Linked DNA regions of Tribolium castaneum. The protein of the gene in region 1 binds, or shares a complex with, the protein of each later gene. Links are inferred from orthologs where the notes say so. Each region holds a gene or a part of one and is shown in the gene's direction. Other genes may lie near its edges.

The links.
Region 2: the proteins of Upf2 (region 1) and regulator of nonsense transcripts 1 are in contact, whole or in part, in a crystal structure (PDB 2WJV), measured with the Homo sapiens proteins. The link is inferred for Tribolium castaneum from reciprocal best matches to the Homo sapiens genes UPF2 and UPF1. Residues at the interface, in NP_056357.1 of Homo sapiens: Val1105, Cys1107, Glu1109, Asp1110, Phe1113, Ile1114, Ala1116, Leu1117, Met1120, Met1121, Asn1124, Leu1125, Arg1128, Met1169, Pro1170, Phe1171, Val1172, Met1173, Leu1174, Thr1175, Gln1181, Lys1184, Leu1186, Asn1187, Val1188, Pro1189, Ser1192, Gln1193, Leu1194, Asn1197; in NP_001284478.1 of Homo sapiens: Asn150, Thr151, Ser152, Gly153, Val157, Asn158, Leu160, Val161, Arg162, Lys164, Lys166, Pro175, Leu176, Gly177, Thr179, Tyr184, Cys188, Asn190, Val191, Phe192, Leu193, Phe196, Pro198, Asp202, Ser203, Val204, Val205, Val206, Leu207, Cys209.

Annotation. Positions count from the first base shown.
Region 1 is NC_087394.1:28,282,453-28,286,823, forward strand, and holds the start of Upf2 (regulator of nonsense transcripts 2), read left to right. Parts: upstream 1-1,292; 5' UTR 1,293-1,382; coding exon 1,383-2,049; intron 2,050-2,153; coding exon 2,154-2,503; intron 2,504-2,552; coding exon 2,553-2,778; intron 2,779-4,371. Other genes in the region: uncharacterized protein Zcchc7, read right to left, coding at 1-795. UniProt on the Homo sapiens protein: Involved in nonsense-mediated decay (NMD) of mRNAs containing premature stop codons by associating with the nuclear exon junction complex (EJC).
Region 2 is NC_087397.1:527,909-532,181, forward strand, and holds the start of regulator of nonsense transcripts 1, read left to right. Parts: upstream 1-1,167; 5' UTR 1,168-1,500; coding exon 1,501-1,680; intron 1,681-1,732; coding exon 1,733-1,960; intron 1,961-2,004; coding exon 2,005-2,184; intron 2,185-2,230; coding exon 2,231-2,443; intron 2,444-2,495; coding exon 2,496-2,887; intron 2,888-3,298; coding exon 3,299-4,273. Other genes in the region: sodium channel protein Nach, read right to left, coding at 1-87, 138-257. UniProt on the Homo sapiens protein: RNA-dependent helicase required for nonsense-mediated decay (NMD) of aberrant mRNAs containing premature stop codons and modulates the expression level of normal mRNAs.

The DNA of each region.
Region 1 (4,371 bases):
AAAGTCGCCACTCTTGAAATCTGATCCGTGCAAACTGAAGTTGAAATTTTTGTGATTTAATTCAACTCCAGAACTGTTGACGAAATCATTCGAGGCTGAATCGGGCGTACTTAACAATTCTTTACGCTCGCGGTGGGCCTTTTTTGTTGGTGAATCGGAAACGCTCGAGTTATCCGATGCAACTGACGCAGTTTCGTTATTTTTTTGTTGTGAGTTTTTCGGAGACTCGGTTTCTTCGTCAAGGTTTATTACCTCAACAGGTGTCTCCACTGGCTCAACAAATACAACATCGTCATTTGACGACTTGTTTTCACTAATATCTTTCTTATTATCATCGTCTGAATCACAAACAGACAAAACCGGCCAATTTTCAGGAATTAACACACAGCTATCCTCCTCGTTCTCACTATCGGACAATGTAATGACCTTGTCACAATTACTTGGTTCTTGGTTTCCCGGTACGACACCTGGTGTTTGTTTCGGAGGTTCCTTCTGAGAATTGGCCAGTTTCTCCAATTTCTTCTGCTTCCTTTTGTAGTTTTTCCAGCGCGCCTTATTACGATTTTTCTTAGGAGTTACACAAACTATCGGACTTTGAGGAGTCAAAACAACTAGTTGGTTGATTGATATATTATCAGGCCTGTGGCGCCTGTTGCAACTTTTTGAGTAAAACCCTGGATGGGACTGGTCATTATCCTTGAAAGTTGGTGGTCTTGTGTTTTGTTTTGCATGCACACTTTTTTGGAATTTGCTGCCAGGGGTCCAAGGGCCGAAGTAACGGGCCTGATTTTTCATGTTTTCGGGGGCCAAAGGCGCGACTGGTGCAGACGGAAGGACTAAATCGCTTTCGGTATCAACCGAGTGGTAAACTTGACTATAAAGACGTGATTCGATTTCTTCAAGGTCCAAGTCATTCTGGAACAATACACGTAGATTGCTCAAATTGTAATAAGTTGAACAATACCATGGTTAGTTGTAAATCTACATTTTAAAAGTAACAGTACGAGAAAAAAATTGTAACTTGAACCAAAAATTAGTAACATTTGACAGCGAAAGCGAAACACACGTGGTTTTCGTCACCAACTTTGCGGAGGAAAACGCACTAGTGGGATACGATTTCGGACGCGAAATCCGAAAACAACTCACTTTACCTCCTGTACATTTGTCCGGGTTAAATCCGAATTATTGTCTTTAATTTTGATGATGTAAACACTTTCCGTTCGCTTGGAATTAACGATAAGATAACACGAAAGTTGATTGTGTAACTTGCATTGGCAACACTTATATCTATTGACGGTTGGGAATTTTCGCTTTTTCCCTAAATTGTTTTCTAATAATAATCATTTTAACAAGTTTTTTGCAAATAAAGCCCGTTTTGCGACATGACCGTGACCGAATCCTCGGAACACGACGGTGAGAAAGACGAGAACAGTGCCGAGGCCCCCAGCGAAGACGACAAAAACGTCCTAACCTCTTACATCCAAGAGGTGGAAGAGAGGTTTGTTTGCAAGCAAGAGCTGCGAAGTGCCAACCAAAATGCGGCAAATACGCGCCCCAGCGAGTCCCACTTCAGCAAGCTGGACTCCAGCCTCAAGAAGAACACGGCGTTTGTTAAGAAAATCAAAAACTTCTCTGCCAACCAAGTGGACACATACTTGAAAGACATGACGGGGCTGAACCTGTCCAAGTACATATCGGAGATTGCGGCTGCGATAGTCGATGCTAAATTGAAAATGACCGATGTGGGCGCAGCCGTAAAGATGTGCAGTGTTTTGCACCAGACTTACGCTGATTTCTCGCAACACTTGTTTGAGAACTGGCAGAAAACCCTGGCCTTTAAAGTGGGTGAGAAGATTCCAAATCCGAGTAAACTGAGGGTGGATTTAAGGTTTTATGCCGAGTTGGTGCAGGCTGGGGTGTTTAGCAATAAAAACGCGTTCACTTTGCTGGGGACCGTGATCACCACTTTGGTCAACATGGACAAGGACGAACACTACAATTGCTCAATAATCCTCAGCTTTTGCAAGCACTGCGGCGAAGATTACGCAGGTAATTTTGGTATTTTTCGCCCAATCAACTACTCGTATCCCCAGGCGGACCGCATATTAAACGCCAGTCAAGTCGATAAAAATGTTAATTTTTTCGAAATATAGGTCTGGTCCCTCGCAAGATGCGGGAATTGTCCGAAAAATTCGACATCCCCATCCCGAAGAGCACTTTCCTGCCGCCCGAGAAGCAGCAAAACGTGCGCACCTTGCTGAGGGATTACTACGTTTCGCTCAGTAAGCATCTCGTCAAAGACCACCAAGAGATCCAAAACTTCGAGAAGCAGAACATGAGGATACTCCAAACCAAAGGCGAGTTGAGTCAAGAACGAAAAGACAAGCTCGAGGCGCTTCAAACATCGTACGATAAATTATTAGCTTCGACACAAAGTTTTGCGGAAATTTTAGACGAAGATATGCCAACTTTGAAAAATCAGACTCTCATGAAAAATGATGAGGTGGCTTTAATTAATTGGGTGGGATAAAGAATTAACTGAGAATTTTTAGAGTATGATAGTGACAGGTGCGGGGCCCGATTTGGACGAAGCTGCGTTGGCTAATATCGAGAATGTTTGGTGCGATATTGAAACGCAGAGGTTTTACTGCGAGTTGCCGGAATTGCAAGCTTTTTTGCCGACTTCTTATATAAATAAACAGGCGCCTCCGCCCGAGGAGTCGGTCACTGAGGAGGTGCTGGATTCGGAAATACCAACTGAAGAACTGGAAGATGACGGTGGGTAAATTTGATAATTTATCTCAGAAATTTTTGTTTTGAGACATTGTCGTCTAGAAAAAACTGTCTTGAATGTTACCGCTTTTTTATCTTCAGTAAGAAAGAGTCCTAGAGATTAAAAAAAAAATTTGAATATATCCGTTCCGTTCAGAAAATAATGGTTGCAACCCCTCATATTAGGGACCGTTTAGAAACCGCTTATAATTTTCTATCCAATGAAAAAACGGCATTTTACGAGGCATAGTTTCTGAAAAACTACTAAGGATTTTCCAGGTTTTCTTGGACCAATCGATTTGCGCGAATCATTTATTAATTATTAATAGATTTGTCATAAAAAAAAATTACGCTGATGACGATACTGTTTGACGTTCTCTTATTTCGTCGTAATCGTCATCCGAAAGTTAAATAACTTTGAGATATTGATCACGAGTAGAAACCTGCATCAATTCATTCTAGTTTTTTATAAGGTTTACGTTGATCGATTCGTTGGAATCGGTACTTAAAAAAGTCAAAAATTTAGTTTTCTAAAACTTTTAACGCGTTTTTTTCAAAAACTATAAAAGTCCGACTAGAAAAAATTAAAAACCGTCAGTCTCTACTTTTAATTCTTTATCAAACAGTGAAAATCTGGAATCAGAGTCGATTTTATAAAAAAATATGACTTGAAAACTAACGGTTCCAGTGTTATGTAAGCGAATTATGTTGACCTACTAAGAAACTGTCGGCCTCAAAATACATGTCGGAAACTGCATATTTGAAAATTAAAATTCCTCCACGATTTTTACAATCTTTAATGAATTCTACTTTCATACATTCAAAAACTTCAATTTTTTACGCTTAACCAACAAATTAATGATTCCTATGCGAAGAACTGCCGAGATATCGACCGTTGATATTTTTGAAATTAAATATTTTCTTTATTAAAAAAAAATATATAATTCCTTTGGGCTACGGATCCCCGGATTATTTTTATAAAGTTATAAGTTTCATCAATTCCGGGGTGCTCCGAGTGGTTTCCGAAAAACACGGTGATATTATGTTTTTAATGTCTCAGCGCCCCAGAAATGCTCAAATATTCATCGCAGAGCATTTTCACCGAGTTTCACTAATCGCATTGTGTTGAAGACGTCATTTTACGATTGGAAAATTTATTCATGTAGTAAAATCGTAAATGCTAATGAAATAAATTCTTGAAATTTTCACACTTCGACTAATTGATAAAAGAACCATTCCCAAATTTTTTTTGTAATTAATAAAGTCTTAGCAGTTTTATAAAGTTTTTATAATAAGTGGTATCACAATAACAAATTTTTACTTTATTGGTTAAACAATCGGCAATTTTTTATTTAAACACAAACCAGACGCGTGATTTATTAGAAGATGGTATAATTTGCCAACAAAGGGATCACTTGCCAGTAGCCGATCTCATTGTCTTAAGACATCATTTTACGTCTCGAATACTTATAAATTATAATGTAGTAAGTTTTTGTGACCCAAAATTATTGATTCGCAATCTTTACATATTTAATTAATTGAAAAACTTTAGCCACATGACTCTACGTTCTATGTGCTTTTCCGAGGCCTCTACCGAGT
Region 2 (4,273 bases), on another chromosome or scaffold:
ATTTAAGTAAGATGTGTCCACTGAAAAGGATATTTTTTGGTTTTGATACTGGTCTAGTGCGTTAAACATTAGCATAATCGATGCGGCCTGTGAATCTATTTTATTGTGGTAAAAATTTGACGATTTGTGGGATTTACCCAAGAAGTTAGGACACATATTGTCCAAAAAAATCTTTCAGTCCAGTGGAATCTCTTATCAGCTATGAAATGCAAGCCATGTAGAGACGTGTTTAAGAAATATTTTGTAACAATACTCATTGTAGTGTAGTTGGGAATTTGTAATCAATACTATTTATGAGTTGGGTCATAATGCAGTAAAACTTTAATAAATTATTAATAGATGTGTTGAATTGTCGCTGTACAAAAACCTAATAAAAAGTTAACAGTTTTCAAACTATCAATTATATCATCGTAATATTTATTATGTATCTGTGGGAAACCAGAATGATACGTGAGCATTTAAGTAACCGCAAGCTACTTAAACATGAGAAGAATTAAAAAATAAGGAGTGCCAGTTGTAATAAAGAGCATGTGTGATTTCTATTAATTTAATAAAATACAGTCATTTCTTGATAATGTTTTTATTGAGTCCACGTTCTATTTTTATGGATAAAGTTTGTAATAGCAATATCAAATTCAATAATCATAAATCATAATAATTTCGCCATTTTTCGTCCATTTTTAATTTAATAATTAGGTAGGCAAAACCAAATGCTCAGTTGTTTTATTGGTCATCTACTCAATAAACTTATTACGTTTTTTAGTTTTATTTATTTCGACAAAAACATTCGTAAATTTACGTTCTTTTAAAACGAACATCATTTTATGTTTTTGACTTATTACCGATAAAATTTCACTGAAAAATCGGCTGTTTTTGAAAAATGTGTTTTTTTTATTTTGATATGCCTCTTTTTTGCAGTCATGTGTTGAATGTTGAATAAAAACCGAAAAATCAATAAACTTTATGCTATAATTTTATAATAAAAATAATGTTTAAATGTAAAATTTACAAAAAAGTGAAAAATCAAATCATAAAGTGACGCAGCCTTAGCCACTTCTACAATCAAACATATGCTTATCTCTCTTTAACTTAAAAGATTGCGATACGTGTCTCACTCCGATAAGATGGTAACCACAATGATAACACCGTGCCAACCAACGAAAAAAAGCTTAGGGATTAAATTAGACAATAAGGTTGTGCAATAATCTATTTCCTAAACCACTTTTTAATTTTGAGGCCATAAAAAAGATCAGTGCGCTAAAAACTGAAAAAGATAGCACGAGTGTTTAAGTTTCCCGCTCCGTCAATTATGCTTCGGAAAGAGAAATGACGATAAAAAAACAAATGATTAATCAGGAAAATATGGCGCTTGCCAGGAGAAAAATGTAGAAATTTTAAAGTAACCATAGTCGAGTTGTCATCAATTGAAGTGTTAAAAGTGTTTCATCAGTAAACGTGAATAAACCCGTGCTTCAATTCGTTCGCGACGAAATCTCCAAGATGAGTGTCGACGCATACGGCCCCAGTTCGCAAACTCTCACGTTTTTAGAGACCGAAGAAAACGACTTGATCGGGGCTGACACCCAAGGATCCGAATGCGAATTCACCGATTTCACAATTCCATCGCAAACGCAAGCCTCGCAGCACGACCACGCGGGCCCCAAAGTTTCCGGTGTACAGGTTAGTGCAAGGTCGCCCCCTGGTTCAGTGTCGTATGACGTTGTTGTTTTAGCTCAACAACAACATCAACAACAAAATCGCCAATGCGACGAGTGCTTTAGGGGAACTGCAATTCGAGGAAGAGGATGAGGAGTATTTCAACAGCAAGGAGCTCCCGAACTACGCGTGCAAGTACTGCGGCATTCATGAGCCGAATTGCGTTGTCATGTGCAACTGCTGCAAAAAGTGGTTTTGTAACGGGAGAGGAAACACCTCAGGAAGCCACATAATCAACCATTTGGTGAGGAATTTCAACTTGGAAACTGTTTTTTGATTGGGGTTTAGGTCCGAGCCAAACACAAGGAAGTGACCTTACACAAGGACGGCCCTTTGGGCGAGACAATCCTTGAATGTTACAGTTGTGGCGTCCGCAATGTTTTTGTTTTGGGGTTCATTCCTGCCAAAGCTGACTCTGTTGTGGTGCTACTTTGCCGCCAACCTTGTGCCGCCCAAAACTCACTTAAAGTAAGTCATTGCTTTTAAAATAGGACAGTTTTCAAGCTTTTAATAGGACATGAACTGGGATCAAGACCAATGGAAACCACTCATTACCGACCGGTGTTTTCTCACATGGCTTGTAAAAATACCATCAGAACAGGAACAACTGCGAGCGCGCCAAATCTCAGCCCAACAAATCAACAAACTTGAAGAACTTTGGAAAGATAATGTTGATGCCACGTTCCAGGATTTGGAACGGCCAGGAGTTGACGAAGAACCGCAACAAGTTAGTCTTGTTTGCACAGTTCTAACGTATTTATTATAATTTTTTTTGGTAGGTTTTATTGCGATATGAGGACGGTTATCAGTACCAAAACATTTTTGGTCCTCTTGTTAAGCTTGAAGCTGATTATGATAAAAGATTGAAGGAGTCTCAGACTCAGGAAAATATTGAAGTTAGGTGGGATGTGGGTTTGAATAAGAAAACAATTGCGTATTTTACTCTTGCTAAAACTGACGGGGATATGAAATTAATGCACGGAGATGAGTTGAGACTTAGATACGTGGGAGAAATGCATAAATCATGGGCGGGGGTGGGACACGTTATCAAAGTTCCTGATAATTACGGAGAGGATATTGGCATTGAGTTGAAGAACGGAAATGGGGCTCCCACCGATTGTAACAGCAACTTTGTGGTGGATTTCATTTGGAAAAGTACCAGTTTTGACAGGTAAATTTCGTTGTTGTGATAGAAACAGAAATAATCACGTTAATCTCTTTATGTATCACATTTTTTATTTATTTTTTTAATTAATGTTTTACTGTTAGTAGTCAAACGTTGAAAGTACCATTGTTATAAACTTTCACATTAAATATAAGTATAATATTACAATCAAACTTTATTTTAAAAATCACAGTAATTAAAAAAAAAGCATGAGAGAAGTGACGCATTTTCACTTCTTATTTCCGAATGTTAAAAAAATCTTTGTAAGATGTTAATTTTAAGCGTTGATATTTCAAGCTATATTAATGTGGTAATTTTTTTATAAGGTTTCTAAGAATATTTAATTAAAAAAATAATTATGTGAAAACAAGTTTTCACGTCGTTTTTTTCTGAGCTCGCCTTTATTGTTAATTGCAGGATGCAACTCGCCTTGCGAAAATTCGCCGTTGACGATACATCCGTTTCCGCCTACATCTACCACCGCCTCCTCGGCCACGAGGTCGAAGAGGTCCTTTTCCGTTGTCACCTCCCTAAACATTTTTCGGCACCTAATCTTCCCGACTTGAACCGTTCGCAAGTCTACGCCGTCAAACATGCCCTCCAGCGTCCACTCTCCCTCATCCAAGGTCCTCCCGGAACGGGAAAAACCGTAACTTCCGCCACCATCGTCTATCAATTGGTGAAACAAAACGGCGGTCCAGTCCTAGTCTGTGCTCCCAGTAATACGGCAGTTGACCAACTTACCGAAAAAATTCACAAAACTAATCTAAAAGTTGTAAGATTGTGTGCGAAATCACGCGAAGCGATTGATTCGCCTGTGAGTTTTCTTGCATTGCATAATCAGATACGTAAAATGGAAGCCAATACTGAACTCCAGAAGTTGCAACAGTTGAAAGATGAGACTGGAGAGTTGAGTTCAGTTGATGAGAAACGATACAGAATGTTGAAAAAATTGGCTGAGAAAGAATTACTCGAAGCTGCCGATGTTATTTGTTGTACTTGTGTGGGGGCAGGTGATCCACGATTGGTTCGTTTGAAATTTCATTCGATTCTGATTGATGAAAGTATGCAAGCGACTGAACCCGAATGTATGGTACCGGTGGTACTAGGAGTGAAACAATTGATTTTGGTTGGTGATCATTGTCAGTTGGGTCCAGTTGTTATGTGTAAGAAAGCAGCAAGGGCTGGATTGTCCCAAAGTTTGTTTGAGAGGTTGGTGGTATTGGGAATTCGACCGTTTCGCTTGGAAGTACAATACAGGATGCATCCAGAATTGTCGCGTTTTCCCTCCAATTTTTTCTATGAAGGGAGTTTGCAAAATGGAGTTTGTGCCGATGAAAGGAAGTTGAACAAGATTGATTTTCCATGGCCGGTTATTGACAGGCCCATGTT